4 linked regions of the Rhinolophus ferrumequinum genome follow. The protein of the gene in region 1 purifies or fractionates together with the protein of each later gene. This does not show direct contact. Links are inferred from orthologs where the notes say so. Each region holds a gene or a part of one and is shown in the gene's direction. Other genes may lie near its edges. The genes, in order: YAP1, RNF187, WWP1 and RPL14.

What was found.
Region 2: the proteins of YAP1 (region 1) and RNF187 purify together in Homo sapiens (affinity purification with western blotting; 3 studies listed by BioGRID, with this or other methods). This does not show direct contact. The link is inferred for Rhinolophus ferrumequinum from reciprocal best matches to the Homo sapiens genes YAP1 and RNF187.
Region 3: the proteins of YAP1 (region 1) and WWP1 purify together in Homo sapiens (affinity purification with mass spectrometry; 3 studies listed by BioGRID, with this or other methods). This does not show direct contact. The link is inferred for Rhinolophus ferrumequinum from reciprocal best matches to the Homo sapiens genes YAP1 and WWP1.
Region 4: the proteins of YAP1 (region 1) and RPL14 purify together in Homo sapiens (affinity purification with mass spectrometry, with the first as the bait; 3 studies listed by BioGRID). This does not show direct contact. The link is inferred for Rhinolophus ferrumequinum from reciprocal best matches to the Homo sapiens genes YAP1 and RPL14.

The regions. Positions count from the first base shown.
Region 1 is NC_046294.1:71,671,006-71,678,682, forward strand, and holds the start of YAP1 (transcriptional coactivator YAP1), read left to right. Parts: upstream 1-4,661; 5' UTR 4,662-5,352; exon of another isoform or gene 5,353-5,472; 5' UTR 5,473-5,570; coding exon 5,571-5,891; intron 5,892-7,677. Other genes in the region: CFAP300 (cilia- and flagella-associated protein 300), read left to right, coding at 3,218-3,387. UniProt on the Homo sapiens protein: Transcriptional regulator with dual roles as a coactivator and corepressor. Critical downstream regulatory target in the Hippo signaling pathway, crucial for organ size control and tumor suppression by restricting proliferation and promoting apoptosis.
Region 2 is NC_046307.1:1,322,623-1,330,561, reverse strand, and holds the start of RNF187 (E3 ubiquitin-protein ligase RNF187), read left to right. Parts: upstream 1-4,938; coding exon 4,939-4,983; intron 4,984-5,440; coding exon 5,441-5,624; intron 5,625-7,939.
Region 3 is NC_046297.1:1,989,013-1,996,877, reverse strand, and holds the start of WWP1 (NEDD4-like E3 ubiquitin-protein ligase WWP1), read left to right. Parts: upstream 1-4,857; 5' UTR 4,858-4,994; intron 4,995-5,451; exon of another isoform or gene 5,452-5,708; intron 5,709-7,865. UniProt on the Homo sapiens protein: E3 ubiquitin-protein ligase which accepts ubiquitin from an E2 ubiquitin-conjugating enzyme in the form of a thioester and then directly transfers the ubiquitin to targeted substrates.
Region 4 is NC_046300.1:12,791,836-12,799,117, reverse strand, and holds the start of RPL14 (60S ribosomal protein L14), read left to right. Parts: upstream 1-4,280; 5' UTR 4,281-4,350; coding exon 4,351-4,353; intron 4,354-4,820; coding exon 4,821-4,922; intron 4,923-5,551; coding exon 5,552-5,646; intron 5,647-6,725; coding exon 6,726-6,825; intron 6,826-6,914; coding exon 6,915-6,968; intron 6,969-7,131; coding exon 7,132-7,282.

The DNA.
Region 1 (7,677 bases):
AAACGTTTTTTGTGCCACGTGTCATGTTGAAGATACACTTATGTCAAAACAACCACCACAGAATGTTAAAACTATAAACAAATTAGAATCACTGTTTAATAAATCTTTTAAAATAGGATTAATTGTCAGCTTTCAGGTAAGATTCAAGACAGGTAAGATTTTTGAGATCCTTTACAACATAAGTGTTACCAAATAGATTTTTTTTGAATTATCAAATACATATTATATACTAGATATAGATATTTCTAGAATAAATGATGAAATTAAAGAGATACTTATCTATAAAACAGTGAAGGTATTTACCTTGATGCATAATGGTTACAAAGTAAGGTATATAATATTTATAGAATAAAAACAGAATGTGGAATATACTATAGAGTAGTCATTCTCAAACATTAGCATGCCTCAGAATCACCTACAGGGACTTGTTAGAACCCAGATTAAAAAATAATAATAATAACAAAAAAAAAAAAAAAAAGAACCCAGATTGCTGTGTCCACCTCAAGTTTCTCATTCAGTAATTCTGGGTTATGGCCTGAGAATTTACATTTTTAACAAGTTTTCACTGATGCTGATGCTGCTGGTTTGGGGACCGCACCTTGAGAACCATCCATAGGGAGTATATTTAGTATTTTTAGAAGATACCTTTTCATTTTTAGTGTCATTTAGTAAAGTATAGTAAATGATGAGATGTAGTAGTCTTTCAGGCCTCGATGTAGAAAGCACAGGCTGAATTTGACAATACATATTGCTCATAGCATTTGAGAGGCTCTTTAGGGCCTCCATTATATGCTGCACTCAGTTCTGCCCTAAGCCTAAAGGGCCTTGTACTCCAATACTTTTCACATCCCGCTGTCAGAACAAACTTTAATTTCTCCCATGTGGATAACTTCAGCTAGATTTTAGAAGAAAAAGAAATTTTATTTAAAATGATTTCTTTTACTGCAGTATCTATGACTTTGCATTTAAAAAACCAAAATTAATCTATTATGGTATAATAGGAAAAATATATATGGTATTTGAATGGAGGAGATCTTTCTGCAATGGGCCTGACAGGTCCTCCGATATACCAAAAGAATAGGATTGAGCAATTTACTCGTGCCCCCAACCCTTTCTGGAAGGTTGTCATAACCTGGTGAACTGCGTATTAGTTTAGGCAACTAGCTCACCCAGATAGGAACCTGAGTAGAATTGCTTATAAATATTTTTTCTGCTATGAGGGGAAAATGTCCACCATACAACCAGTATTAGAGCAACCAATTTAAATGAGTGAAAGGTTGGCACTCAATTTTTACAAAGAAGTATTGTCATAGAATGTGGCTTATCTAAACCCAACTGATACTGCATAACTAAACAGGTGAACATGAGTTTGGTTTTTAAAGTAATGATTTACATGTAGATGTTCATTTCTGAAGTGCTTTAAAATTGCCTATTCTCTAAAATTGGTAAACAGATGACACTTTGAACAAGGGAGTGGATTGTGATGCCATTAACTGAGATGGTGAATCAGAGGAGGATGTGGCTTGGGAGGGTGTGGCTGGAGGTGGAAGAGGGTAGAGGTAAAGAGTTCAGTTGTGGATGTGTTGACCCAGAGGGGAAATGAACAAAAGCTGAGGAAGTGAAAAACAGGCATGTGGGCTGCTCTTTCCAAAAATGTGTATGTACAGGGAAAAGCTTGTATACATTTCTGTAGGTTCAGGGGGAGATTTTTAGGGCTTTTGTGCATGGTGGTCTCCTTTCTCTGAGCAATGGGAGGTGATGTGGTTTTCTGAAGGATTGGGGGCTGGTGAATAACCATGAGAGTGGTGAAGTTTAGAATAGCCATTATCATGGATGAGTGACGGGCTGATTGCAGACGCAAGGAAACATGGTTAGAGACTATAAGTATGGAGAGATACCAGCCCACTCGCCTGAGAGACTCCCTCCAGTTGTCCCCAGAAACCTGGGTGTCAGCCAGGCTTTCCAGAGGCTGAGAGAAGCTGGATACTTCCTCTTTTCAAGCCACCAGTATACTCAAGCATACTGGAATGCCAAAACAGGATTACAAAACCAAGGTAGGTTTCAAATGTTTACCCTTAGTAAATTAATTATTTTACCACACAATGATTACAATGCAATGTTATTGTGCTATTCACTAGATACAGAATTTACATAAAATATTAATCCATATTGCATTACAGAGTGTCATTGGGTAATAGCACCAACTTTAAAGTTCTACAATGAATGCCTTCTTGTGATTATGTAGGTGTATCTCAGGGATGGGAGTATAACTCCAGTTTGACAAAATGTCAAAAGCTTTTGTTTGAAGATTTTAATGAGTGTGGGACCCAGGCCCCCATAAGCCTTAGATGTTGGAATGGAAAAGACAGGTGACTTGATTAATTCAGTTTTAAAAATTCAGTTCATTGAAATACATGGGGCAATGGAATTGAGGGCATAGATGATTAAGAGAGGTTGAAGCAATGAGTTATGATTTCTAAACTGAATTGGGAAAGAAGTGAAAACAGGAGGGAGTGATAGGTTGGTAGAAAAGAAGGAGGTTAATAATAAACGAGGTGTAAATAATGAAACCAGAGAACCAAATGGCTATTAAGAGAAGAGTATAACATACGTAGTTTGATTTCACAGCGGAAGTATTCTGGATGATGATCGGTATGGACATAGGAGCAGGTGGCCAAAGGGAAGTAGAGATGAGGGTCCTTTTTATGTGAGAGGGCAAGTCATTGTAAGACTAGCATTTTGATAGTGATCTACATGGTTATTGAAAATGATCCAAGATCATGGTGGGTCTTTGTATGAAGAAGGCGACTCCCCACTTCAAGGTGCCTTAAACTGATAATTGCTCCAAAAATGGGGCTGGAGAGGAAGAGAGGGGACAAAGGATTGAATACATGTTATCATTATCCCTTACTAACCTGTGATTGAAATTTTATAAATGAGGAATAGTAAATTACAAAATCTTGGTCAATGCTATGGAGGTGCTTACAGAACATAAAATCACTCCAAACAGTCTTTCAAATCCACTTATCAAAGTAATTTTGTTCTCAGTTTAATGGCAGGTGAAACAATACTGAACAAAGGAACCTATGCTGTACCCTAAGCCCTTTAATTATAGTGTTCATAGTATTAAATGCTCTAGTTAAGGGACAGCTTCCATTACAATCCCAAGTTTTTAATCACTTTGGTTCTTAAAAAGTCTTTTTCCTTTTTTTTTCAGTTGAAGTTTTTAATGCATGGTTTCTGCCCAAAGGCTTTGTGTGGATTGATTACTGGATAGGCGAGGAAGGGGCTGCCAGCAGCATCCTGAGTGGGGGTTGCTGCAAAGGAGAGGCTGTGTACTTACTACATGTGAAGTGGTCTGTGAACATGGACAACAATGATAGCTGACGTTTACGCAGAACTCATCGCAGGCCAAAAACCGGGCTACGTACTTACTTTATACCCATTGACTCATTTAATTCCTCAACATATGAAATAGCTGTTATTACCCCTAACCCCAATATTAAAGAAATTAAAGAACAGGAAATAAGTAACTTGTCCAATGTCTCACAGCTAGTAAATGGTGGAACTGGGACCTGAACTCGAATCTCTGTAACTTCAGAACCTACAAGTTCATGGTTAAATGCACTTAACATTTTTGGTATGGGAGTGGGGATAAATCTAAGAAGCAATCAGACATCTTTGAGGGGGATTCCTTTCTCACATGCAATTGGGGTCCAGAGCAGTTGATTAGGACCTTGCTTTAGAATCTCGAGGGCCTGAAGCCTCTTCCCCTGGCCCTGCCCTACCAAACCAAATGATACACATCCCTCCTCAAAATTCTCCTGGGCAGGTCCTGGCTGGAGGAAGATTACCTTTTTGCTCTGGGGACTTTTTCTTGCTTCAACCTATTCATACATCTGATCCACTAGCGTTATAGACAACATCACTAAAACAAGAAGTTAGATTTTCTTTTAGAATGGGCTAGTGGATTTAAAATCAGAGTGATGCTACACAACTCTGAATACACTAAAAACACTGAGTTTCTTAAATGGCTGAACTGTATAGTATGTGAATTATCTCAATAAAGCCGCTTATTAAAAAAATCGGAATGTATGAGTTAAATTTTGTTTTCATTGCTTTTAATGATTTCAAATGGACTCCTTGCACTACCACATGGAGAATCAGGTGCCTGGGTGAGCTCCTCTCCCATTCATTTTTTCCTTCAGTCGACATTCATGGAGTCCACCCTTGTGCCAGGCACAGAGATAACAAAAAGGGGTGGGCTCACACCCCCTTGAGGATGAAAGGCAGGTACAGAGAGGAATGCTTCTAGCCAAAGTTGAGCACTGATTCTTTGCGCTGAGGTTTTCATGACTATGTTGCAAGTTTCAGTGGTTAAAAAAAAGGTTTTCACTTTTAAATAAGGCAATTTTGTATTTTAGTAAATTACTAGTCACTGATTAATCTCAGAGCTTCAAATTCCAGTAATCGTTTATCCCTTTCAAGGAGTTTTTTTGCATATTACAAAGTGAAAAACATCAAGTTAATGTTTTTTAAAAAAAGGACCCTTATTAAAATAAGTGCCTGTTACGGGTATCTATATTCACTCCAACCTATCCTTGAGGCTTTAAACCCGCATTGGCACTCCGGTTGGTCCAGTCGAGCTAACGCGAGGAGGGTTTAAGTGGATTTACGCGTCCCCTCCCGACGTCTTTCAGCCTTAAGCATTTCGGGGCGAACTGAGAGCCTTTCAGCCTTTCCCGAGGACTGGCCGGGAAAGGGCCGGGCTGGGCGGGAGGACTTCCTGCGGCCAAGGGCGGCCGCGCTCGCAGAGACCAGAGCCGACCCAGACGGGACCCAACGTTGGTCGCCGGGCCGGCAGCGCTCACAGCCCGGATCGACGGGCGTGCTCCCGGCCCGACCGGGAAAAGCCCCGGCGGAGGCCTGGGCTGAGGGCGACTTGGTCACGTGCGGCCGGGAGGGGCGTCCGAGGCCGGGAGTCTGCTGGAATGTAGTAACTTGCAGGGGAAAGTTTCCCTTGGCGGCCGGTCCCGGGACCGGTGCGGGCGGGCGCGCAGAGGAAGGAAGAGCCTGGAGGAGGCGGAGCCGGAGAGCGGCTCGGGCGGGCGGTTCTCTCAACTTTAGTTTTGGCGTTTGAGGCGAGTTTCTGTCTCAGTCGGGCGCAGCCGCCGCCAGGGAAAAGAAAGGGAGGAAGGAAGGAACAAGAAAAGGAAATAAAAGAGAAAGGGGGAGGGGAAAAGCAACAAGCTGTCTGGCATCCGTCAAAGGAGTGAAGGAAAAAAGTTCTCAGGCGCCGCAGGTCCGGGTCTCTCGCAGCCCCTCCCGAGGCGCAGCCGCCAGACCAGTGGAGCCCGGGCGCAGGGCGGGGGCGGAGGCGCCGGGGCGGGGGATGCGGGGCCGCGGCGCAGCCCCCCGGCCCTGAGAGCGAGGAGAGCGCCGCTCCCGCCGCCCAGCGCAGCCCGGCCCGCCGCCCTCGCCGCTTCTCCGGTCTCGGCCCGTCGAGCCGGGGCGCCCGGGCGGAGCCCTCGCCCGCCTGGTCGGGGTGCGCGTCGGGGGAGGCAGAAACCATGGATCCCGGGCAGCAGCCGCCGCCTCAGCCGGCCCCCCAGGGCCAAGGGCAGCCGTCCGCGCAGCCCCCCCAGGGGCAGGGCCCACCGTCCGGGCCCGGGCAGCCGGCACCCCCGGGGTCCCAAGCGGCGTCTCAGGCCCCCCCCGCCGGGCACCAGATCGTGCACGTCCGAGGGGACTCGGAGACCGACCTGGAGGCGCTTTTCAACGCCGTCATGAACCCCAAGACGGCCAACGTGCCCCAGACCGTGCCCATGAGGCTCCGGAAGCTGCCTGACTCCTTCTTTAAGCCGCCGGAGCCCAAATCCCACTCCCGACAGGTAACCTCGCCGCTCCTCTGCCTACTTCCCCGTCGGGCGGGCCCCGGGCCCGGGGGCGGTCGGGAGCGGCGGTGGCCAGCCCTGGCCGGGAGGTGGGGGGTCCGGGAGCTCGAGCGGGGCTGGGCTCTCGCAGAGAAGTGGAGGAACCGGAGGCGTCTGCTGGGCCGCGGTCACCGGCTCCCCGCTCCTCCCGGAGTCTGGAGCCGAGATTTGTTTTTCCCCTCGGAGTTTCTCTCTGCGGTTGCAGCCCCGGGGGGCGTGCTTTCCCCCTACTTTCTTTCTTTCTTCCTGGGGTTCCCGGGAGGTTGGCGGGAGTGGCGGGGGAGGTGGGGAGGAAGGAAGGGGGTGGGGAGAGCCGGCCCGGGCCGCGGTGGGCTTGCACAATGCGCGCGCCTCCGCGCGCTCAGCACCTTCGCTCCCGCCGCCGCCGCCGCCGCCGTGGGGAGGGGGAGGGGGGCCTCTGGCATTTGTGTGTGGGTGAGTTGCCAGCGGCGGCCGAGTTTGTGAAGTTGAGCCCCGAGCCCCCTTTCCTTCGGGGCCTCTCGGTCCACTTCAGGCTCCTGGAGAGTCAAATAATTGTTCTCTTGTTTTCCAGTGTTGATTAGGGGTGGGGGTTGATCCAGTCCCTGTAGTTTCTTACTCTTTCTCCCCCTCCCCCTCCCGAAAGCATTTATTTTCCTCGCGGCCCCGGCGCTTTATGAATACAGGATCCAGACTTTCCTGGAAGTTGTTTATGGAGTTAGTGCTTTCACCCCTGTGTTTCCCTTGTGCCTTGGAACTCGGGCAAGCTCACTCTTATCAAACTTAGTAGGTTCACGTGTTGATTTCCCAATTGTAGGCTATTATTTACAGTCTGCTGAAATGCTTTTAAATTAGCCACATCTGCACGTTGCGCAGGACCTGAGCTGCGCTTTACCGTGCCTTGGTTTTAACACAAGCCTTTGAAAATACACTGCAGGTTGACTCATCGCCGAGTCCTGCCTCGTTCAACTGTGATTACAAGTTAATGTTTGGGAAGCGATGACTAATTCGAGACTCGCCATTGCTTTTTAATTCTTATTGAGGATATGAACATGGCTGGTCGCCTACACAACGTTCGATTATTTTGTCAACTTGATGCAACATTGAAGTGAAACTATTATGAACTTGTTAACATTCCAACAGGTCCCAGTAGATTTGTTTAGTGTAGGTTTTTCTTTCTTTCCTTTTTAAAAAAGAACTTGCTTCAGGCTAAACTTCAGCATAGGAACTTTGCCCAAAAGTTAATTGGTTTTCCAAATACTGCGATGTAGTTAGTCCACTCGGGCTGTAACTGGAGTGGAAAAAAGACTTATCGCCCCCACTGCCATTCCCCTGTCTATTTGCAGACCTGTTGTATGTTCTCCTGCCTCAGGCCAAAGGGTTTTAGAATTCAGAAGAACTTAACCTGCAGACTAAAACCTGGGTTATAAGGAGGAAGGGAAAACGAGATAGCTGCTTGCCTAAACCCTTAAATTTGTAAGAAGTAGACTTAGGTATGCTTTTCTCTTCATGGAAGTGGGTTTCTGGACTCATGTGTTGGCATTGCACCCTACAGACTACACAGCTATGCTGCTAGTTACTTAATATGTTTTGAAAGTATAATACACATAGGAGATTGAATTCCCCATTTTGTGGCATCAATAAGCCAAAATGAATTGCAACTGAAAAGTGTACTTATTCTTCTAATAAATAATCACACAAGAATTTATATCCAGCAGTTTATGAATTCATACTATTCATTGTCTACTGAAGTTTTGTTTGTTTT
Region 2 (7,939 bases), on another chromosome or scaffold:
AGGCCCCAGGACCTGTTGTAGCTCTGTGCTCAGAGGGCTTGAACTAAGGGTGCTCCGTTGCTCCAAGTAGGCGCCCCACTTGGCAAGAGTGGTAGTCTGTGCCACCTCTGTTTTGGGTCCCTGGGTCCACATATGGACCCACCCCTGGACGGGATAGGTTGTTCGAACCAACACCCGTGCCGTTCTTGTGATGGCTTCTGTGGCCACTAGGGCTGCATACACAGCAGCCAGCTGTTTCTCTATTAGTGAGTAGTGGACCTTCGCTCTGTTACATAATTGGGACCAAAATCCCACTGGCAACCGGAAATGCTCCTGCCATTGCCAGAGGACCCATCCGTACCCCTCTTGGGTTATGTGAACATCAAGTTCAAATGGGCGGCCGGGGTCCACTACTTACAGAACCTGTGCCTGCTGCACTGCCCGTTTTGTGGCTACGAAGTCTTGCTCTATAGCCTCTGTCCAATCCCATGAGGCCCCCTTTTTTATCATGTTGTACAAGGGCCTTGCCATTTGTGCTAAATGGGGTACAAACGCCCGCAAATATCCTAGCAGACCCAAATATGTCTGCAGTTGGGAGACCTTGGTTGGCCGGAGAAAGGCTTGTATCTTGTCAATAATCACCTCAGGTATAACTTTTGTCTTCCCCTACCACACAACACCCAAAAACATGACGGATAAGCCAGGGCCTTGGACCTTTTCCTAATTCACTGCCCAGCCGCGTGACTTCAGGTGGCAGAGAAGAGAGGGAGCTGCTTGCTCTAAATCAGAAAGAGAATCTGATGTTAATAGAATATCATCGACATAATGAAACAAGGCCACAGAGGACGGGTGATCCCACTGTGCCAAATCCTGGGCCACGAGCCCGTGGCAGATAGTGGGGCTGTGCAAGTATCCTTGCGGAAGGACTTGAAAAGTCCACTGCCACCCGTCCCAAGTAAAAGCAAACTGCTCTTGACACTCAGGTGCAATGTCAATGGAGAAAACAGCATTGGCCAAGTCCACTGCATAGTGATATGTCCCCAGGCGGACAGTCAGACAATCCATTAAATCATGTATTGAAGGTACTGCCGCGTGCAAGGGTGGCATCACCTTATTTAACTCCCTATAGTCCACAGTCATTCGCCAGGTCCCATCTGGCTTCTTGACAGGCCATACTGGGGAGTTAAAGGGACTGTGCGTTGGCCTCACAATATGTGCCTTCTCCAATTCCAATATTATAGACCAATCTCCTCCTGTCCTCCTGACAGGTGGTACTGTCACACTGTAACCACGCGCCACGGCTGTGGCAACACTTGAGGAGGGTGGTGAGCATGTCCATGTGTCACGGATTTCACCACCCGGATCTGGAGACAGAACTCTCCTACCGACATCTGTAAGCTGAGGCCATGTAGCATGTCCACCCCTAGAATATACTCCGGAACGGGGGAGACATACACCTTGTAGGTACGAGGGGGAAGCCTTCCTATACCCAGTGGTAAGGAAACAGCTTTCACAGTCACAGTCTTTCCCCCGTACCCATCAATGCAGATTGCTGGTCCGGGGAAGAGTTCTGGGTTCCCATAAGCAAGACTTCAGTCTGCGCCAGTGTCAACAAGTGCCAAAACCCTCTGCACATTAGAAGGGGACCAATGTATGGACAGTTCCACGTGGGGCCTCTGGTCCCTGCTGTCCCCTCTGACCGGGTACCTTGGCCCCAGCCCTAATCAAGCTGAAAGGAGTCGGCCTCAAGTGGCCGCATGAAGTCCTGGAGGGACACGGGTCGCGCTTTCCCAGACTTCTCCTTTAGGCTTCTCTGGAATTGCTGTTCGCGATGCAACTGTTTCCAAAGTTCCAGCAGGAGTTTATTGTGTTGTCGGTCTATTTTCTCCTGATCGACCCCTGCTGCCACAAGATCATGCCACATCTGTGCGCGTGTTGCTCTCTGAGGCCCGCGACCTCACCCCTTTACTTTTGATTTGGGCTTCCAGGTCTCAACTGCGCGGACGTCCTGTCTTAACTTCCTTCGCCTCTGGCTTTCAACATACTCTAGGGTGACCATGGCAGTTGTAACTTCATGGATCCGTCACCCCACATAGAGCGTAAGAATGGCAACTAAGGATCCAAAGGCACTCGCAGGTACAGTATCCAAAACCAGATCTTTCATGCTGGCTGTAAAGAGCTCGTCATCAGGTCCCTGCATAATAGGGTTGAAAATAGCATGTCTCATACCCATTTCATGGATGATTTGCGTAAGTTCCATATATGACTGCCATTGACTCACAGTGTCTGGCAGCTCGCCAGCCTGTCCCCATACTGTGCGTACAGCAGCAATGAGTCACTCCATTAGAGTGGTTGCCCTGGTCTTGGGCCAACCTATGGCAGTTCTGTAACCTTTGTCGCAGGGACAGATGCACTGTCACAAAGGCTAGCTTTTCCATCTCTCCTGGGGAGCAGAGAATGTTGTCTGCTCCCTCATCCCATAAACGTAGTAGCGGAGACTGGCTCTCCAGGGCGCTGTCTGTACCGCCTCCCCAGCTCCTGCAACTCAGTGGGAGTGTAAGGGGTGTAGGTTGTGAACTCAGTCACAGCTGGGTTGCCGGCGGGGCCCAAAGGTTGCTCATGCTTTACCTTTTGTTTCAAGATTGGCTGGGCTTGGGGGTTAGGAGCTGTATTGTCTCCACTCGCCTCCTCCGCCTCTGCCTCACAGTCTCCACTGTGGGGCCCCTCTTCTAACAGGGGGACCCGAGCTTCCAGCGCCTCCAACTGGGAGACCTGGTCCGGCACCTGGGCTATTTCATTAGGCGCATTTTCCGTGTTGAGACTCAAGGCGGTGAGGAACATCCAGCCCACGCGGCCGGCTGTAGCCTTCTCCTCCTCCGGCAACTGCTCAGCCAGAGCCTGCAGGGCCCTCTCCACCCTGGCTGGAGAGCCATCCATGTCTTCCCACCCCTCCTTGGGGGTCCAACTCCTGAGAACAGTGGCCACTGGGCACCACACACTGTGTGGGGGCCACACGTCCTCCTGCCCAGAGTCAGACTCCATTCCTACCTGGTTGGAATCCTGCTCACCGTGCCAGAGGTCTGAGTGGGTGGTGGCCTCGGTGTATAATGTCCACAACCCTCGGAGCCTACAGCAGAAGCAGATCAACAAAAAGAGGACAACACCTTCCATGGCCAAGAGGGAAGTGCGCCATCTGGACGCTCGAGTCTCCCAGGCAGATCGCTCCCGGTGTCACTCCTCGCCGGCCTCCCGAAGCTGAACTTTTGTACGCATAAACTGCTCCACCATCCTCCGGTGAGTTTTGCCCAGCACCATACCCTGCTGTGCCATTTGTCATGCGGGGTCTCTGGTCCCGCTCCCCACATAAGAACATAGGATATGGTGAGGCCAAAAAGGAACACCCACAGAGCCATAGGTAGGGGAGTCATACCACTATATTCTCGCTGGCGGCTGGATTCACACGACCTGCGACCTGCTGTCTGCTTTTCTGCCAACCGACCGACGACTCAACTCTCCACCACAGCTGCGACACTTATATCAGTGGCCAATTGGCTAACCGGCCACAGCTGACGGCCAACTAGCCACAGCCAACTGCCATCTAGTACCCGAGCCAGCACCTTTCCACGTGAGGCTGAGAGCCTGGAAACTGCTCTCTGGGGCTCTGTTCCCACAGCAGTCTAAAAAGATGAGGTAATAGCCTCTTGTCAATCCCAGACGTCAATCAAGTGGACCTATGCCCGGAAAGGAACATCCCATTTGAGAGAAAAAGAGATCAAAACCACCAAGGTCTGGTTAGCCGGGGCCATTGAGCCATTCTCTGCTGCTCTGGTCGCTTCTATTTCTTTGGAGTGTACTGTCTTTTCTAATAAACTACTCTTTCACCACTTTATTTCCGTGTCTGGTTCAATTCTTTGCTGGAGAAGCCAAGAACCTAGACTTCGCGCCAAGAAGGGCCCACTCTCCGGTAATAGTTGCGGCTGAGAGCTCTTGGAAGGCGGGGGTGAAATCACAGGGCGTGCTGGGGAGCTCTGCAGAGGAGGAAAGCCTTACCTAATGTCAGCCGGATTTCGAAGAAGGAAAAGACTGCCAGGCAGCTTCTGTCCTCTGGACAGCTCCCAGCGATCCCGCGCACAAAAGCAGTCCTCCCGTCACGCAGGGAATGCCCGCGTGGTGGGGACTGGGGACACTTCTCTCCAAGGCCCTGCCCCCTCTCTGCACGGACACCCGGGTGCAGGACCCGAGATAAAGCAGGTGCTGGCCTGTATCAATCCCGCCCAAGGTGGCGGCATCGCTTCCTGGGGTGGTCCTTCCTAAACGCCCACGTCGGCCAAAGCCGCTCCTGTGTCCATTTCCATTTTGTTTCAGAAAATAGAAAAGACAAGGTCTGCAATCAAATCCCAGCGGCAGGTGTGAGTCAAGTACAGGCGACCACAGCAGCGGAGATGGGACAGGGCCGCGCAGCCGGCTCTGAGAGGCAGCAGCGTGCCCTGTGATGGAGGCGCAGGCTGCGGAACATGTGAATTGCGTTCCAGCCTCAGCGCCACACGGACGCGCGGCCACGCGGGAGAGCACAGCCGCTCCCGGGGCTCCAGAACTGCATGGTCCTAAGGGGCAGACTGCAGGTGCCCAGGGGTCCGGGACCCCGCCGCCGCCAGAGCGGAGCCGCTCCCGCTCTACGATCGGTGTGATCTCCCCTCCCCAAGTGTGCGCTGTATATATTTCTCTTATTTTCATTTCCTATCTAAGCCCAGAAATTAAAGTATCTTAAGGGGTGTTCAACCCAGTAGCAGTGGAGGAGATACAGAAAACACATAGATCTGAAAACACAAGACTAAGGAGATTTTATGACAAGAATTTTCTATATTCTATGTTTATATTCCTATTTATATATTTACATGAGAGGTGGTCTGGACCTGAGAAGGGAGAGCTGTGGGGCGGGGGGAGGGATGTCGGAGGGGTATGGCGGGCAGCCGGCCTGACGCCGACATACCCCAGACACCCCAGGTCCGTCCGCGGCTTTTTCTAAAATCCCCCTTGGGACTCCACAGCAGCCGCACTCCTGCATTACACGCCTATCAGGAAGTCAGGAGTACACCCAAAGATGCGTGAAAACATTATGGCACAAATGAGCATAAATCCCAACAAGTTCCAGACTCAGACACCTAACCGAGCGGCCAAGCAAAGACAGTAGAATAAAGGAAGCTTTGGAAAGCTCCGGAAGGAGCTTCAGCCAATCGATTTGTCGTGGGGGGCGGGCTGGATTGAATTTGAACCAATTCAGACGGGCCATTCAGATAAATACCAGAGGCTGCAGTTTGTGGCTGGTCTGACGCCGACGGCCTGAGACTGCGCTTGAGCGGGCCTACTGGGAAGGGGAAGCCCCTGTCCCCACCCCGAGCGTCCCTGTACCAAGGTACTCCTGCTCTCCGGTACTCCTGCGCTCCCATACTCCTTTATCCAGCACCCCTGCAATCCCGGTCCCCGCGCCCGTACAGCCGGGGACGCTTGCACTGCTGCCGCCCTGAAGTCCCACCGCCTGTGCTGTCCTCCCTACGCCTTGTGCGCCCGCCTAGCCGGACCCCAGCGCCAGACCCGCCTGGAGGACTGCGGTCACCCCCTGTATACCTTCCCCACCAGGCGATCTGGTACTACAGCACAGCATTGAAGTATACAGGTGGTACCAAAAATATGTATACACATTTTAAGAAAGGAAAAAAATTATTAAAACTGTAATACTCAATATATACTGATAACAAAAGATGAATACAAGTCACGTTTGACTTCTGCAATTACAAGAGGTGCTCAGAGTGTTTACCATCAATCAGCGTTTAGACACATCTGATTACTGCAAACTACCACTTGAGCAACTGTTGACCAAAATGTCCACTTGTATACATTTTTTGACACCCTCCTCCCCCTGTATTTATATTATGCTATTCATACAATGGTTGAATTACTACTCACTCTTAGTGGCTCAAGGCTCACTACCATCACAGGTCTGTGTGAGGCCCCTCTTGTTTACATCCATACATGTATATATGTATCTGTATCCCCAAATGTGTTTTCCTGTGATGCCCATTTTTTCTGACTCTGACCTTCCACTTGGCAACCATTCTATTTTGTTTACTACATTGTTTTGGGGTGAATTCTGACAAAATGTGTATTCTTCAGTGTTCATACTGCACACTTAATTTACATAAGTCCCATGCTAGACATGCTGCTTTCTTCATTCTGCCCAGTTCTTCAGCTCCACCCACACTTCTGTGGGTATAGAGTGCATTACTTCCTGTTCTGTAGTTCCTCAGTGGAGGCCACACATTTCCTCTCTTCACTTCTGGCTGTTGGACCCTGAGATTGCTCCCAACTTTGATCTCCTGCCGGTGCCCACATTTTGTGCTGAAAAACCTCAGACATTTGTAAGAATTAGGTTATTTATGGAACCGGCAATTAACAGTAAATACGTTTAGGTACTAGATCATAGAGTCTAGAGATATAGGGTATAGGCTTTTAACTTCAATTGCTTTGGTTGTCACATAGCTTATAGTCAAAGATTAAGAAAGTATGTTAGCCACTTATAGTCAAAGATTATAAAGTATGTTAGTCATGTCCTGAAGGCCTGCCTGTAAAGGTTCAGGAGAAGTGTGTGAAAGTACATGTTGCTTGAGACAATAGAAAGATGTAGCTAGTAAGGCACAAAATGATAGCTTAAACAATAACGATGGTCATGAGATGCTTAGTTTCTGCTTTTTGTTTTAAAGATAACCTCACTGACTGCACTGATGAGATGTTTTGCAGAACTTGGCTTCAACCCAGCCAGATAACCTGACCACAGTGAGGAAGTCACCAGAGATTGCAGGCACTAAATTAATCAGCCGGAGGAAAACCACTGAAGCTTCCATAAGAACTAACTAATTTACCCTTGACCTCTAACCCTAATTTCAGCCTTTAAAAATCCCTCAAAATACTGATCGAAAAAAAATGCATGAGAAGTAGTTTTCAGTGTAGAAAGGAAAATGGTTTGATATTGAACTGGCCAATCCAGAGCCGGGGAGTTTATGCTCTAAAGACCTGACTCCCTGATGGCGTGTAGGTTACAGATTGTGTGGTGCAAAATCACACAAGATAAAAAAATCACAATATACCATGGATTGGAGGTTGGGTTGTACTGAGAGGTAAGGGTAATGCATCATTTCTTATAAATAATCCAGGTCTTGAGGACAGTCCTGAAGTCTTTCCCGGAGTCCCTCTTTCTGGTCTCATAGGAAAGCAGCCAGGGTGTTGTTCCGCCTTAGGGCTCAGGAGCTGAAACATAACTTAGGTGAAGATGTTATCTTATCTTGCCAGAAGTCCAGACTTTGTGACCTTTGGTCAGGTCCTGGCTACTGTCTTCCGCTGCCTTGGGGTTTATGATTATCAAGGTGTTGCCATAAAAAGAAAAAATGGTTCTTGGTGTATGCCACAGGAAAGAATTCAAGAAGGCACCTAATAAGCCAAACAAGCAGCTTTATTAAAAGGATAGTACACTTTCAAGGTGAAGAGAGCAGGCAGGTCTGGAGAAGAGCAGCTGCTCCAAAGAACAATGAGACTTGGGAATTTATCTCACTAAAAATGAAGGTGCGAAATATTCCAGAGTTAGGGGTGGCCTTATAGACATTCCTAGGTGGGTCCTTGCTGACCACTCCTTCCCATGGAGGAGGAATTTTTGTCCTTATTTGGCTCGGTCGGACATGTCCTGGTGACACAGGGGGGTGGAGATTTTCACTAACCACAATGCTAATCATATTATAATCCATATAATTAGCTAAAGTTCATCTTGAGGGGCAAGATGGCCTCCTGGATCTGCTCTTGAAATCTAATCTAGTTCTGGCCAGTCTGGTAGCTGCACTTTTTCTTAGGGAGAATCTCATCTCCCTCTTTTGTCTCCCTCACCTCCTCCTTGCCTTCCTCGCCAGGTCCTATT
Region 3 (7,865 bases), on another chromosome or scaffold:
ACTTTAGTCTTGGCACAATATTTAGTGATATAAATTTTATGTGCTTGAGTTCTAAGTTCAATTGATTCAATACTTAATTTTAAAGGCTATCATACATGAAAAAGACACTTCAAAAATATGTCAATACAAGAGGACAAAGTATATCATTGTCTTTAGATATTAACATATAGTACTCATTTTTCATTCCCAGTTACGCCAAACTTTTTGTTGAAATTCAGATAGGAAATTCATTTCACCTCAATGTCACTTTGATGTAGGCACTGGGTTAAAAAAAAATAACAGAAGGATTCAAAACTCTTCATTTGCAAGATGTTTAGATAGGATAGAAAATTCTATTTCAAATCCTACTTCTTTACTTCTATGTGACACCATGGTAATCTTAACACCATTGTCAATCTTATTACATGTAAGTAATGAAAAAAATTAATTCATATGTTGGACCCACAAAATGGATGCTGCCCCAAAAAGATTAGATTATTTAATGGAAAAGTGAAATTATCAAACAAGTCGAAAAAAATAAGGCAGGTAAATGACATGATCTCAGGATAGGAGAGGACTTGTGAAACAAAATATAATAGAAGAAAACAAAAATGGAAAAGACCAATACTTTTATCTACATTATATATAAATTGCCTTTTTGCGAATATTCCAGTAAGAAAACGAACAACGAACCAACAAGAGGATTCCATATTTCCCATATAAAAATATACCATGATGACTTTGAGGAGTGAAGATAGGGAGTATACACAATGGAGTCACTTTAACCAAGCTGCTGAAATTATTACCATTATGAAGGCTGAGACCTGAGGAGACCATTCTTGTTCTAACTCGCCTGGAAACTTTAACTCCTTTGAGCTTTCCAGTCCTGCGTCAGTGCCTGAATAGACATGTGGATTTCCAGGCAGCCCTGTAATTACCCCCCGGGGACTCATATGTCCAGGCCACCTGATGACCCCCTAAAGGACTCATGTATTCATCCCCATGACATCTGTTATCCAAACCACTGATCTGACCATACCTAGTACCCATTCTTGGGACCACCCGGCATCCACCATCCTGCCTGTCATCTGATTGATAATTGTCCTGGACCAATCTTAGGGCTAAGGAAGCAAGACTGATAATTCTAAAAAATGTACTTTTGGCTAAAAATTTTTAACTTTTCTTTCTTCTTTGAAACACTTCTAGGTTTTCATCGAACTGTGTTTCCGGTTTGCAAACTCCAAGACCCTTGAATAAATATCATTTATTTCTAGCAAAGCCTCCAGACTCTTTTTGAGTTTGTTCAATAAATTTGGTATAGTAAAGGACAATTATACACTCTCACATAGTATTATGGGAATTTGATAACAATATCGCAATAGTAATTTATTGATTATGTGCCATGTAATGCTAGGTATTTTATTTGTAGTAACTCATTTACTTTTTACAAAAACATCATATGGTAGCCTTATACCGGTTTTCTGGTTGAGGCACAGTCAACTTAAGGAATTTGGCTGAATCTCACAGCTCATAGGTGGCTACAGGGTTGACTTATCCAATTGTCACAGCACAGTACCTCAGGCTCACCGTACTTTTGTGTGTGTTCCATGCTATTGAATTGGCTCTGACTCCTGGAGACCCTGTAAATGAGTTATGTCCACAGTGTCCTGTCCTCACAGGCCTGCTCAGCTCCTGGAGACTCAGCCTGTGACTTCCTTTACGGAGTCAGTCCATCTCCTATTTGGTCCTCTTTTTCTGCTGCCTTCTATTTAACACAGCATTATTGTCTTTTGCAAGGAACCCTGCCTTCTCATGATGGGCCCAAAGTAGGACAGCTTCAGTTTTGTCATATCTGCCTCCAGTGATGTTTCAGGCTTAGTTTTCTTTAGGACCCACTTGTTCATCTTTCTGGAGGTCCAGGGTATCCGTAAAGTTCACCTTCAACACCATATCTCAAATGAATTATTATTTGTTTCCTAACAGGCTTCTTCACTGTCCAACGTTCACATCTGTACATAATAATTGGGAAGATGAGGGTGTGGATGCTCTTAGCCTTCGTCTCTAATGATACATCTTTGCTCTTGATGATCTTTCCTAATTCTTCCATTGCTCCCTATCAAGTCTCAGCTTTCATGTAATTTTTTTGGCTGCAGGCTTCATTTGAATTGATGACTGAATCGACTGAAACAAAATCTTTAACAATTTTTATGTTGTCATTGTCTATGTTAAAGTTGTGTACTTCTTCTGTAGTCATGATTTTTGTCTTCTTGATGTTCAAATGTGGTGCTGATTTGGCACTTTCTTCTTTGACTTTCATCAGAAATTATTTCAACTCATTGTGACTATACTTTCAGGGGCCCACAAAAAATGTTTTAATTTCTTTTAAAATCAGAAGAAAAACAACTGAATGTTCAGGTTGAAGAAAACGTTTTAATGTATGCAATCAGTAAGTTCACGTTTATGTCAATGCAGTTATAATTTTTAATATTATTTTATGGAGGAAGAGACCCACAAAGATAAAAGCATGTAGGACCCATGAAAGTCTGAATGTGGACCTGTGTGGCAGAGCTGCATTTTGATCCCACGCAATAGGGACATCTAAGCCTAAGTACTTTCTGGAAGGTAACTTGCCGATGTTTCAAAAGGGCTAAAACTGTTCATTCATTTGATTACTTTTTAATGATTTAAACAGACAGTAAGTAAGGACATGGACAATGATTTATGAAAATATATTTATTTGTAATAGTGTTCATTTGAAACCAAAGAATATATAACAATAAAAGGATGTCAACTTAGGGACCTAGGTGAATACTAGGAGCTTCTGAATGGAGCTGAACTGAGGGGGAAACTGAGGACTCAAAAGTGCTGGAAGTGAGATTGACTCAAGCAGGACGCAGAAGGAGGCCTGTATGTATTCTGGACATGGACTGCAGACTTCTGCTGGGCGTGTGTATGTAATGTCTGAGAGTATACTTGTATAATAAGTGTGTTCTTGAATTTATTTTTAAGGGAACTGGACAGGTGAAGAAAAGGTTAGAATAAATAGTACTCGGTAAAGCAGAGAACAGTGAGCACAGTCAGGGAACTCTGAAGCGTTTTCATAACAGGAGAGACCAAGTATTTGAACATAGAAGACTTGAAAATGTTAATCTTTGTTTTGAAAGCCCCAAAGAGCCAATAAAAGATTTGAAGCCTTGGAGTGACATGCTCAGATGGGTAGTTTAGAATAATCATTGTATATATATTGTGCCTCGCATGTAGGTATGACATAGGAGGGTGGGAATGATGCATTGGAGTGGAAAATAATATATATTCATTCAAACAAGAGATATTTACCGACTCTTACAAATATTCACGGAGTGTCGATGCTGTTCCTAGTACATGATTCTTTTAAAAGCTTAGTTATGACAGAAGAGAGAGAACTAGAAGGAGGTTTTAAAGTCAAAGGATAATTTAAGACAGAAAAGACTTAAAACGTAATTCTGCTGAGGAATTGTTGCCAATAGCAAAGGCGGGAAACCTTGCTATGACAAGGACAGGGTCACAGGAAAGAGCAAACAGTGAAGAGGTTCACATTGGAGAGGTTTCAACTTGGGCGTAGCTATAGGTAATTTGTTGCGGCTGGGTGAGGCAGTTGGGCAAAAATTGTAGAAATCCATGCTCCGTAGCCTTTATTATGTCTCTGAAGTTACAAAGAAGCTCCTGGTACTGTATTTTGACCAAGGGGACTGAGGCCTGCCCCACCCAATTGGAGCTACACAGCTATATCCTCATTTGTATCTTTACTGACCAATCAGTGGTTACATAACAACCAATCAGATCACATCATTCTGCCCAATCAGGACAGTGCAATTTGGACCAATCAAACGGTGCAAATTGGGATTCCTCATTTGCATAGAAATAGACCAATCAGGCACCAATGGGGAACTTCCTCCATATAAGCAGGTTTCCCTTTGTCTCTGGTGTGTGATCTATGGGTTTCCTCCTGAGGCTTCCTCCCTGGTGTGCAAACTGTTTACCTGAATAAAGTTTCTCCTTTCTTGGCATCCCATATGGGGAACTCCTATTGCCATAGGCTTGGCGGCAGCGACCTTTTGTTGACAAGGTCATCTGGTGAGTAATGGGGTCACCACTGACTTCCATTTGCAGTGGGACCTTTTTCTCTAAACGCAACATGAGGAACCAACAGCATCTCTGCAAACGAGCGAGCCATTTGTATAAATGGGGATGACAGACTCTTCTTTATGGGACTGCTCTGTGGGTTAGTTACAATGACACACGTACTTGATCAGTGTTACTTTTATCATTGTACTCATGGTGGGGTAAGGGGAACAAAAGTTTGGTGACTAATAATGGCCTGGAAAGTCTTTGGCTGAATGCAATTATTTACTCTTGCAATGGTTTCCTGAAGCGCCCAGCTAGTTCAAGGACTATTTATAAACAGCCTAGCTTTGTTGTAAAGCGTTCCACACTGGAACGCTGGTGCCCCGAGGTCCTCACTTGAGGTGACGCGCCATCCCGCCCCAGCCCGAAAGTCACGTCAGCAGCATGCACCTCCAGCCTTGAGTAGCTTCCCCCCAGTCTCCGCCCCTCCGCTGCTCAGGCCCCACCCTCCGCTCCTCGGGCCCCGCCCCCCTCTCCCATTGGCTGGCGCTCCCTGTCCCCCGACCGCCCCGAAGACCCGGAGCAGCGGACTTTCCCACAGGCGTCGCCGGGCTCGCTGGCTGCGCATGCTCGGGGAAGCCCGATCCGGTCCAGAGTCGGCGGCAGGGCGGCCGCGGTGCAGCGCGGGTCGGCCGGCGGGGAGGCGCGCTCCCGAGGAGGGAGGTGTGGGTCGGCGGGGGCGGCGCGCGGCAGGGGTGGGTGGGGGGAGGGCCGGGTGTCCGCGAGCTGATCCGAGTGGCTGCGGGCGGCCTGGGCTGCGGGGCCGCGCCTGCGGCGAGATGGCGGTCCTGGGCGCCGAGGGCTGAGGCGCCGCCGCGGGGGACGCGCCGCTGCGAGGCCGCGGGGAGTCGGTGAGGACCGCGGGGCGCGGGCTGAGGGCGGGGGGCGCGGGGCCGGGCACCGATCGCCGGGCGGGACCCTCGGAGGCTGCCCGCCCGCCGGGCCGGACTTGTCTGGGGCGGGGTCGCGAGTCCGCCCGAGTCGCCCTGGCCCAGGCCCGAGCGAATGATACCCGAGCGGCGCGAAGTGTTTCCGTGACTGCAGCCGCGGCTGTCCAGCCTCCTCAGCTTGTCGTCCCCCTTTCCCTGACACCGCTCCGAAAACACCAGTGTGGACTTCCCGCCGGTGCCCCGACTCGCGCCTCAGCCCGTCCCGGGCGCAGGGCTCCCGCCTTGGGACGCCTCTTCCCGGCTGTTTGGGTCACTCCCGGGTCCTCGCGGACTGCAGCGCCCCAACGCAACCCCACCTCCACCTCGGTGACCCGGTCGGTCCCAGTGACCTTGCAGTTTTCACTGGTCCTTATCTCATCGGTGACTGGGACCTTTTCCTGGCGTCCTTTTATGCACAAACATGAATTTCGTAGTTTGCCCCTTGCGTGGAAAGGCTCGGGCTTGTGCCCTGCACGGTCCTTTCTTCACTCCATCGATTTGGAGTGCAGCCTCCTTCGCTCCCGTAATTATAGGAAACCTTCAACCAGAGCAGAGCAGTACCTATTCTTGTGACCTTTTTACTCTTCCAAGTAAAATCATTTCCAGGGGCCTGACGTGGCTTTCTTTTTCTATTTGGTAAGTCTTGTATCTTTCTGTGTAGCCTCATGTTCAAAAAGATTTGAGTGTCTGCTTTGATGTGCTGTTGGCAGGAGTGGTGGAAAAGAATAATGTCCAGAGTTATCTTTCGGGCCCTTTGGTGTTTTTACGTGAAATACCTGGTGAGCAGTTGTATGCGGGTTTCGGCAAGAGGTCACACGGCGCGTGTACATCCACTTGATCTGTCTCACTAGGTCTCTGGGTGTATTATACAAACAAAATGCACCTTTTTAGAAAAGAAAGGCATTCTTTTATTTATGTGACTTGTTTGTTAGCTATAAAGGACTAAATTAACTCTGACTGGAAATGATGACTTTTCATAAATAGTTAATATTTTTTAAATTGAAACTTAGTGGCCGAGCGTTGGGAGGTACTCAGGTTGAGAAGTGTAAAAAGTATGTGGAGGAGGTCTTTCAGATGTAGTTGACTGACATTTTCACACAGTTTTTCTTTGCAACACGTAGGCTTTGGAAAGCTGAAAGGAAGGGTTATGTTTTTTGGAGGCCATGCCCGTTAGAGAATGTCACAGATAAAGTCTCTGCTTTTAAAGAGATAGAAATCTTTGTTGTTTACCCCACCAAGTCTGAAATTTCTTTTACTCCTTTGCAGTTATTGAACACCTACTACCATACGTGCGATTGTGCGGTATTTTGGGGAATATAAAGATGAGGATGATAACAGTTTCTGCCTTCACAGACAAGTTGGGCAGATGGGACTATACACAAATGCCTCATTTGTCCTTTAACAGATAGTTAAGCTACATCCAGAATCCAAATTCAGAAGGGGTAGAGCTCACAACCCGTTTGGCAAGGTGGGGTTAGGGAGGTTAGTTGTAGAGCTTCTGGCTTCCGAAATCTTTGTTTTAAGGATGACTAAGACCCTTGCTAGGCAGGGAAAGGTGTAATCCAGGCAGAGAAGGGACAGCACAGACGTCATACATTTGGGGAGAGGCAAGTAATTATGCTGGGATGGAACATAAAGTATTTGTACCAGTAACAAGGAGGATAAAGCTAGAAGTAGAAAGTGGGCCAGTTTATTATTGCGTTTAATGCCTGGCTAATGACCTTGGATTTAGTACGTGGTGGGGGTTTTACAGATGATTTTTGAGTTAGCAATGTAACGATTACAAGCTTTGTTTTCAGAGGATCAATCTGGCAACATTGTGTTGTGTGAATTGAATAGAGAGAACCTGGGGGTAGAAAGACCTCTGGATTGCTGTGGTCATAGGTAGCGGTGTCTGCGCTGTGGCCGGTAAGAATAGGACTGGAAAGGAGGAAGGAAGTGGATTAGACAGAACTGCTGATGAAAGAGAAAATGAAGAAAGTGAAAATAACTATGATTCTGATCCAGGTTGGTTGGGAGAATATAGTGATACCATTTTGAGCAACCTCTATGGAAGCTTCGTCTTCGGCACGTGACTGTCACTTTGCAGCAGTACTTGTCAGTCATTTGGGGATTAGTAATCCTTGATGAAATTAAAGTAATCTGCTGGCCCAGAAAATTTCCATATGCACCTGTGTTTTGTGGTTGTAAATTTAGAGGTTGTCCGTGGACCACCTGAAGCTCATCCATGGAACCCTTGGTCCAGTGGGTGGGCTTGGAAGCAGCTCTCAGAATTACTGGGGGCCTTTTAAAACAATAGAAGCTTCAGATTCTTCCACTACTGATAAGAACCCCTATTGTAGAGACATACTGTAGATACACCTAGAGACAGTATCTCCTTACACTTGTATTGTGGTTTGCAGTGAATTTTGACTTATTTGCTGTTATATTACAGAGCAAACTAGCCCAAGAGGTTAAGTGTTTGCCCTGAGTATTTCAATCATGAGTGGGTAAAGTGGAATCAGGAGTTGATTGACAGTGATGGTTGCTTTCTTGTATGAAGATGTTTTATATGCAACTGATTTACCATCATTGGATATTGTTACTGCCTTTACGTGACCTCATCAGTGGGGTCTAGATGATCCTTGGGAGGTTCCTTCCAGTTCTTAACATTTTGTGATTTGGGGTCTTAGGTTTTCCTTGGACTATCTGTACCTTGTTTTCCATGTGCGGGGGAGAGCTGGTGAGGCTGAGGAATGAACTGGGCATATAGAGAGTGACATCAGACCAATCATTTACTTATTCCTTTGGATG
Region 4 (7,282 bases), on another chromosome or scaffold:
AAAACAGAGAGCAAAACCCAAAAATATGTTCAGCAGACACATTTGTCCTGGGGCAAGTTCCGAGTACTGCTATAGAAACTGAATAACTCAGAGAGCATCCCAGCCACTCTGTCAAAACATGTAAGGCTCACAGTCCCCCAAGACCTGACACATACTTGATGTCCTGAGGAATACACGTCAGGGCCAGCCCAGGCAAGCTCTTGTTCCTTTCCAGGGTGTCTCTGTCGGATTCTGATTCTCTCCAGCCCCCAGGTGGGACATGGATAGGCACAGTGGCCAGGATGGAGAGGGGAAGGATTCATGCTGGGGAAGGAAATGAGGTTCAAGTGTTGAGGGCAGCAAAGATGTTATTTGGCTGCTGTCACCTGGGAACATCCATCCACTCAGCCAACCATCTCTGCAGCTCTGCTCTACACCTGTGCAGGTAGGCAATTTCTCCCTTGAATGCCTCATACAGTGCTATCTCAGACTTAGTCTTCAGTAAATGCAAAGTGCTTGGGACCAGGTACCGAGCTGATTAAGAAAGTCAAGTCTGCATGGCCATTCGTCAGGCAGGAAAAGCAGCAACAAATAAAGATAGCTGTCAAGTTAACAGGAAACAATATTTCTGCTAACATGCTACATCTGTTGAACGTCATAATAACCCTATCCTTTGAGGGACTACTGCTTTCTTACTCACTGAGAAACTTTGTTCTCTAAAATCAAACACTCAGAAAATTTGGCGTCTGAAATTTTATCAGCAAGAATGAAACCTCCCCCTTTTTCCTTTCCTTTGGTTAAATGGTCCATGGTGTCTCCGATATGTAGTCTCCCTTACAATGAATCAAATGCACCTGCCTTTGTTGGACTACAGGGTTATTCCTGGTGAACTCAGGTCGACTGGGCTCAGCTTCAGGGCTCCACAGATGCAAATTTTGAAAACAGACGTAACACACACTTTTTCACTCCTAAATATGCAGGCACCTGTCCACCATGTCCAGTAGGCATGCACATGACTGTCATGCCAGTTTGGTCATAACTGGGATTGGTTCACATCTCGCAAAGGTTACAGGAGCCAGAAAAGAAGTCAGGGTTCTAGGTAGCTTTGGGTTCACTTCGTGAAAAGGCTTAGACTTTGGGCCCCAGACATTTTGTCTGCTAAGCTGACACCTCCATCCCCTGTGACTGAGGAAAAGAAAGAAAAAGAGAAAAGAAAGGAACACGAGACACATCTACTCAGCTGAAGCTGACAGGAATATTGGGGTTCAGCTGGTTGCAGGTGGACAGCCCTGGCCAGTATGACACCCTCAGAAACTCTGGAAATGCTTCGGGGAAGGGGGCGTCCTTCAGTCCGGACCAGGACCAGGCTATCTCTCCGCTCAGTGCCTCATGGCAGGAACCCGAAGCCGAGTCCCCGCCCGGACCCTCACATCCACCTCTTGCCACGAGCAATCGCGGAGGGGATGGGCTTTAAGAGGACACAGCTCCCAAAACAAATCCCGCCAAGGACCTGCGGAAAACTTCCAAGCTTAATAGTGACCCCCGACGCCACGTCTGTTGCACCCTTCCTCTCGGTGATTGACTAGCGGGGTGACCTACCGCAAGGGTCTGGCTACGCAGGGAGACGCCGTACAAACGTCTGAGAGGGCCCAGGACGCCATCTTGGATCCTGGCGTCGTTCACCAGTTGCCCTTCCTCCTCGTGATTGGACGAAACGGTTGCGTGTCCCGGAAAAGGCGTGGCCGGCCAACCGAAGCTCGGCGTGTGCTCCGTCTGGTCGTGTGGTTTATGTCACTAGCTGCTAATAATGATCTTGCTTATTTCTGGATGCCCGCGAACTCGCGAGGTAGATCAGGCTGACGTAGAGTTACCTTGCCCTTATGTTGGAGCTTCGGAGAAATCTGAAAACCGCCTGGGGCCGCTTGGGAAAGGGTCCTGAGATGCTTCCTCAAAGACGCGCTTTCTCAATGGAGAGGGGAAGCAGCACTTTCTATTTCTAGGAGAGGGGAGCAGCATTTTCTAGGAGAGGGAGCCCAACTGCATGAAAAGCCGAGAGACCTGTAGTTACGGAGGCAGAAGGGTGAGATTGTGCAGGACCGTGAATGCTAGGTTGTGGAGTTTGGACTTGATTCTGTGGAACGGGATAAAGATGAACATTTGGAGGACTTAAAAAAAAATTTTTTTTAAGTTAACATATATTTGGGGAAAATAAATGCACAAATCATAAGGGTAGAGCTTTGAATTTTCACCAGCTGAACACATCACGTAACCAACCCCCAATGAAGAAACGAGAGCAGCATCTCAGAAGTCCCTTTTCAGCTCCAGCCCACTGTTGCCTGCGCCAAGGGTAAACAGGGTCATTACTTTCAACACCCACAGATGAGTTTGCCTGTTTTCAACTTGATATAAATGAAACCACACAGCACATAGTCTTTGTGTCTGACTTATTTCACTGCTGTGTATGAAATCATCCATGTTGTTCCAGGTAGTTGTTGACTCCATTGCTAGACTTCCTCAGTATACCCATTCTCTTGTTTATGCGCCTTTGGGTAGTTTCTAGTTTGGGGCTATTACTACAAAAGTACTGCTATGAACGTCATTCATGTCTTTTGCTTTGTAAATTATAAAGCAGATACCGGAGCCTAAAGACTCATTCATTCACTACGCACTTATTGAGCTCTTTATCAGGTATTGTGCTAAGAAAAGATGGCCAAGATCCTGCTCTCATGGAACTTATTCCAACTGATGCAAAACTACAACCTAAGTGGACGGAAAAATGAGTCAAACAATTGCAATTGTAATAACAGGTCTGAGGAAAACAAAAAGCTGAGCTAAAAAACAGGCAAGACGTCTTTTTTTTTAATGTGGCAGTCAGGCTTAAGTTCTGAGAAGAGCTATTTCTAGAAAACAATACAAGAGATGAATTGGCACTGCCATGCAATGAGTATAAACAGAGGGAAGAGCATTCTTGACGGCAGAAACACCAAGTGAAAGTCATAGAGCAGGAGAGAGCTTGGCCTGTTCAAAACCAGTGTGGCTGAAGCACAGTGAAGAAGGGGAACAAGGGATGTTATAAGGTGTGTTTGGATATAGGGGCACATGATGCAAGGCCTTGTATATAGATAGAGTAAGGAGTTTAGATTGTATTCTAAATACTGTAGAAAGCCACTGAAGTGTTTTATATAGGAAGATGTGATCTATTTTCTTTTTAAACGAGCCCTCGACTAATAAAAATAGATTAAATGGAGCAATGGTGGCATACAGTTTAGAGGAAAAGACTGAAATAAATTTGGGAATTGTCAGCACAATTATCACCACCTTAATAAAGTCATATTAGGACAAAGCTATCCTAAACGTGTTCCAATATGATGCATTAAGGACACAGCATTTCTACAAAAATGCATAATCTGAATGTAATCATGAGGAAAACTACTATAAATCCATATTGAGAGATGTTCTACAAAACACCTAGCCTGTATTTTACGATGTCAGTATTATGAAAGACAAGGTAAAGCTTAGGAACTGTTGCAGATTTAAACATCTGGAATAACTAAATGCAACTTGTAAATCCTCCATTAGATCATGGACAAAAATTTATTTTTTCGTTTGCTCTAAAAACTGTAAGTGGGACAATTGGTAACATTTAAATAAGACTGCAAATTAAACAATAGACCGTATTACATAGTACTAATTTCCTGATTTTGATCCCGCTGATTATGTAAAATAATGTCCTTGTTTTTACACATTTAAGTGTGTAGAGATAAAGAAACATCATGTCTGCAATTTCTTAAGTGGTTCAAGAAAAAAAAAATGATAATGCAAACATAAGACGTTAATATTTGGGGAATCTAAAGAGAAATGTTTATGGGAATCATTTGTACTAGCTTTGCAACTTTTCTGTAAGTCTTAATTACTTTGAAATGAAATGTTAACAATACTAGTGGGGTCATTTAGTGGGAGAAAAAAATCTAGTACTAAGCCGTGAGTAACATTTAGACAAAAAACGGGAGAGTACTGAGTAATTCAAAGTTGGAAGAATGTTAAAAAAGAAAGTAAAATGGAATGTGTAGAGTTATATTGGAGTCATAGCTTCTGGGCTCTTCTTCACCCTAAAATATTAAGAGAAATTCCTGCAACTCCAGTGCCAGATGACCGAAGCCAGCCACGCAGCTCGCGCTCGCAACAAAGCAGACACACTAAAGCCAGCTCCGCCACATTTTCGAGGGCGCTTGAGTGAGAGTAAGTACGCATGCCCCAATCCCAACCAATCGGTGCCCACGTCGGCGTCTCGTTTACCGTGGGGGCGGGGCGGCTTTCTACACTTGCGCACTGTCGGGCGGGCCTTCTTCCTTCTCGCCGAACGCCGCCAACATGGTGAGTATCGCTCTTACCGGCTCCGGGTCTGGCGGCCATGCAGCTCCACCACTGTCTGGGCCTGGGAGCGGAGGCGCCGAACGGCGCTCAGCGGGTCTTGGGTAGCGTGTGGTGAAGATCCCCCGATCGGGTGGAGCAATGAGTTTGGGAGCTTGCCCGACGCGCGGCCTAGGAGCGCGTGGAGCGCCCGGCGCGCCTGGGCCACGCGTGCGCGCCTCCGCCGCCAGAGCCATACTGCGGCCGCCGGGACCTTGCCGAGTTGGGGCCAGTGGGCGGGGGCGTGGAGACCTGCGGGAACCCGGCTTTGCCGCAGTCTGCGGATTTTGTCCATCCGGGTCGTCCAGGCACTTGGACGTGTTCCCCTCATCGTTCTTACCCATGTTTCCTTTAAGCGGCAAAGCCTGATAAGCTGGAGACTTTTAATTAGTTTCTCTGTTCTCCTCCTCCTTTTTCAACCCGCATTTTAGGTGTTCAGGCGCTTCGTGGAGGTTGGCCGGGTGGCCTACATCTCCTTTGGGCCTCATGCCGGGAAGCTGGTCGCGATTGTAGATGTTATTGACCAGAACAGGGTAAGTGTAAGGAAAGTCACATCACATGGCAGTGGATGGTATGCAGCAGTATAAATGGCAGTCGTCCCAGTGGGGAGTAGTCTGGATGGTGGCTTTATTTTATCCTTGCAGAAGCAGGCAGAGTAGGGGTTTCAAGTACAGACTTGAGTTGGTCAGCACTGCTGGGTTTAAGTATTACCCCTGCTGCTTAAACTAGCCAGAGCTTTTAACTAATGGGTAAATACATTGGTGAAGTGTAAATGAGTTACTATATGTAAAGCGAACTTAGAACAAAGCCAAGCACAGAGAAAGCTGTTGTTTGCTCTTGTCAATATTTGAGAACCACAAACTAAGGGATTGACCAAAGGCTGTGAATGAACATGAAGTTATTTGAAATGTTAAGAATTAAAGACTTAAAATTGTCAAGTAAATTATATTTACTTGGGTTATATGCTGTACTATTAATAGTTTAATCTTTTTTAAAAAGCATCTAAATAATGAGGATTTGGAAGGCAGCTATAATCACCACTGTACCACCAACGCAGATAGTGGGGATTTGATAATTCTGAAAGGACGACTGTTAGAGAATATCTGTCTATTTTGAATATTCAGTTCTGTACTGAGATCTTCATCTTATTTGTGTATTCTAGGCTTTGGTTGATGGACCTTGCACTCAAGTAAGGAGACAGGCAATGCCTTTCAAATGCATGCAGCTCACTGACTTCATCCTCAAGTTCCCACACAGGTAACTGTCTACCAACCATTACACCCTCCCCCAGCTTTGTTTATACTAGAAAAACGTTTAATTAAAAAAAATGTTTTTGTTATTTTGTTGTTTTTCCCTTGAGAATACAGTAAACAGTTGAAAGGTGAAAGCAATTCAGAAGAGGAATTTACAATGTAGAAATAGATGGGCGTTAGTTACTTTTTAAGTGTTCTGTGATCTGGTAGTTCTCTGGATTTGCGTTTATCCAGATTTGCCGTCATCTTTTTTACCCTCTTTCAGGATTTACAAAGACCTCCCTAAGGAATTCTGGTTTCCTGTTCACATTTTAATAAACAGCTTCAAAACAAAAATTCTAGCTTGTCTTTCCCAATACTAGCTGTCATTAGTTGAACTTTTAACATGTTAGTTACAAGTATTTAACATTCATCATCTCATATGGCAGGCAGCCACCACAGAGGTTCTATTCCCAGCTGCTTATGTGGAATTGAGGCGATCGGTAGTAATTTTTTCTTGACGTGTAGATTGTGAAAATTAAACACTGTGGTGTGTTGCTGTCATTACCAACTGCAAATGCAGTTGCAGTGGCACACATGCTGTAACTATTTATTTAAGCACACTGGGTTTTGATAAATTTCAAAATGATTATAATTGGATTTTATGATCAAATCGTTAAGCGTTTTTGTACAAAATAAAAACATTAGGTCTAAGGATTAACTTTACCTCATTCTTGATGAAAAGGAAATTGCTTTGTACATATTCACGACTCCAGGGTGATATTCTATACATGAAAGTTGATTTTAAAATCCTGAACATTGGCTGTTTTGCATTTTTTATTAAAATTGTGTTTGAGATAGTAAGATAAGCTGGTTTAGTGAATATTCAAATGAGTAAAACTGTAGTGTGCCAAGTGGTATGTGCTCTCTAGAGACAACTAGAGCTAGAAGTATAGTGAATGGGAAGGGTACTTTGGGCATCATTTTGTATATGCTTTTTAACTTGAGGGATATAAATTGTGCTTTTCAGAGGACGCAAAGCTGTCCTTGGATGTCTGTGGCTTCAAAGCTGATTCCTTAATTGATGGTCTTGGCTCTTTCTAGTGCCCGCCAGAAGTATGTCCGAAAAGCCTGGGAGAAGGCAGATATCAATACAAAATGGGCAGCCACAAGATGGGCCAAGAAGATTGAAGCCAGAGAAAAGGTAATAACTTACAGTCATTTCAATTCTGACCTTTTTTTTTTCCTGGAGGTTGGAAGGTGACATGAGAGATTTTTTTTTTTAAAAAACAGAAAGCCAAGATGACAGATTTTGATCGTTACAAAGTCATGAAGGCAAAGAAAATGGTAAGTTTTAAAATTATTACGTGATTGTTATATTTTAACCCTAAATTTGTCTGGTAATTCTGTTTACCCAAGCTTGGTATACCAAAGTTGACTTCATAGGGGTCTTGGACATACGGGTTGTCTTCTGTACACGTACTTACAAATACGTATTGAAATTTTTCAGAGGAACCGAATAATCAAGCTTGAAGTTAGGAAGCTTCAAAAGGCAGCTCTTCTGAAGGCTTCTCCCAAAAAAGCACCTGCTGCTAAAGGTACAGCTGCAGCAGCTGCAGCTGCAAAGGTTCCAGCAAAAAAGATGGCTGCTGCAGGCAAGA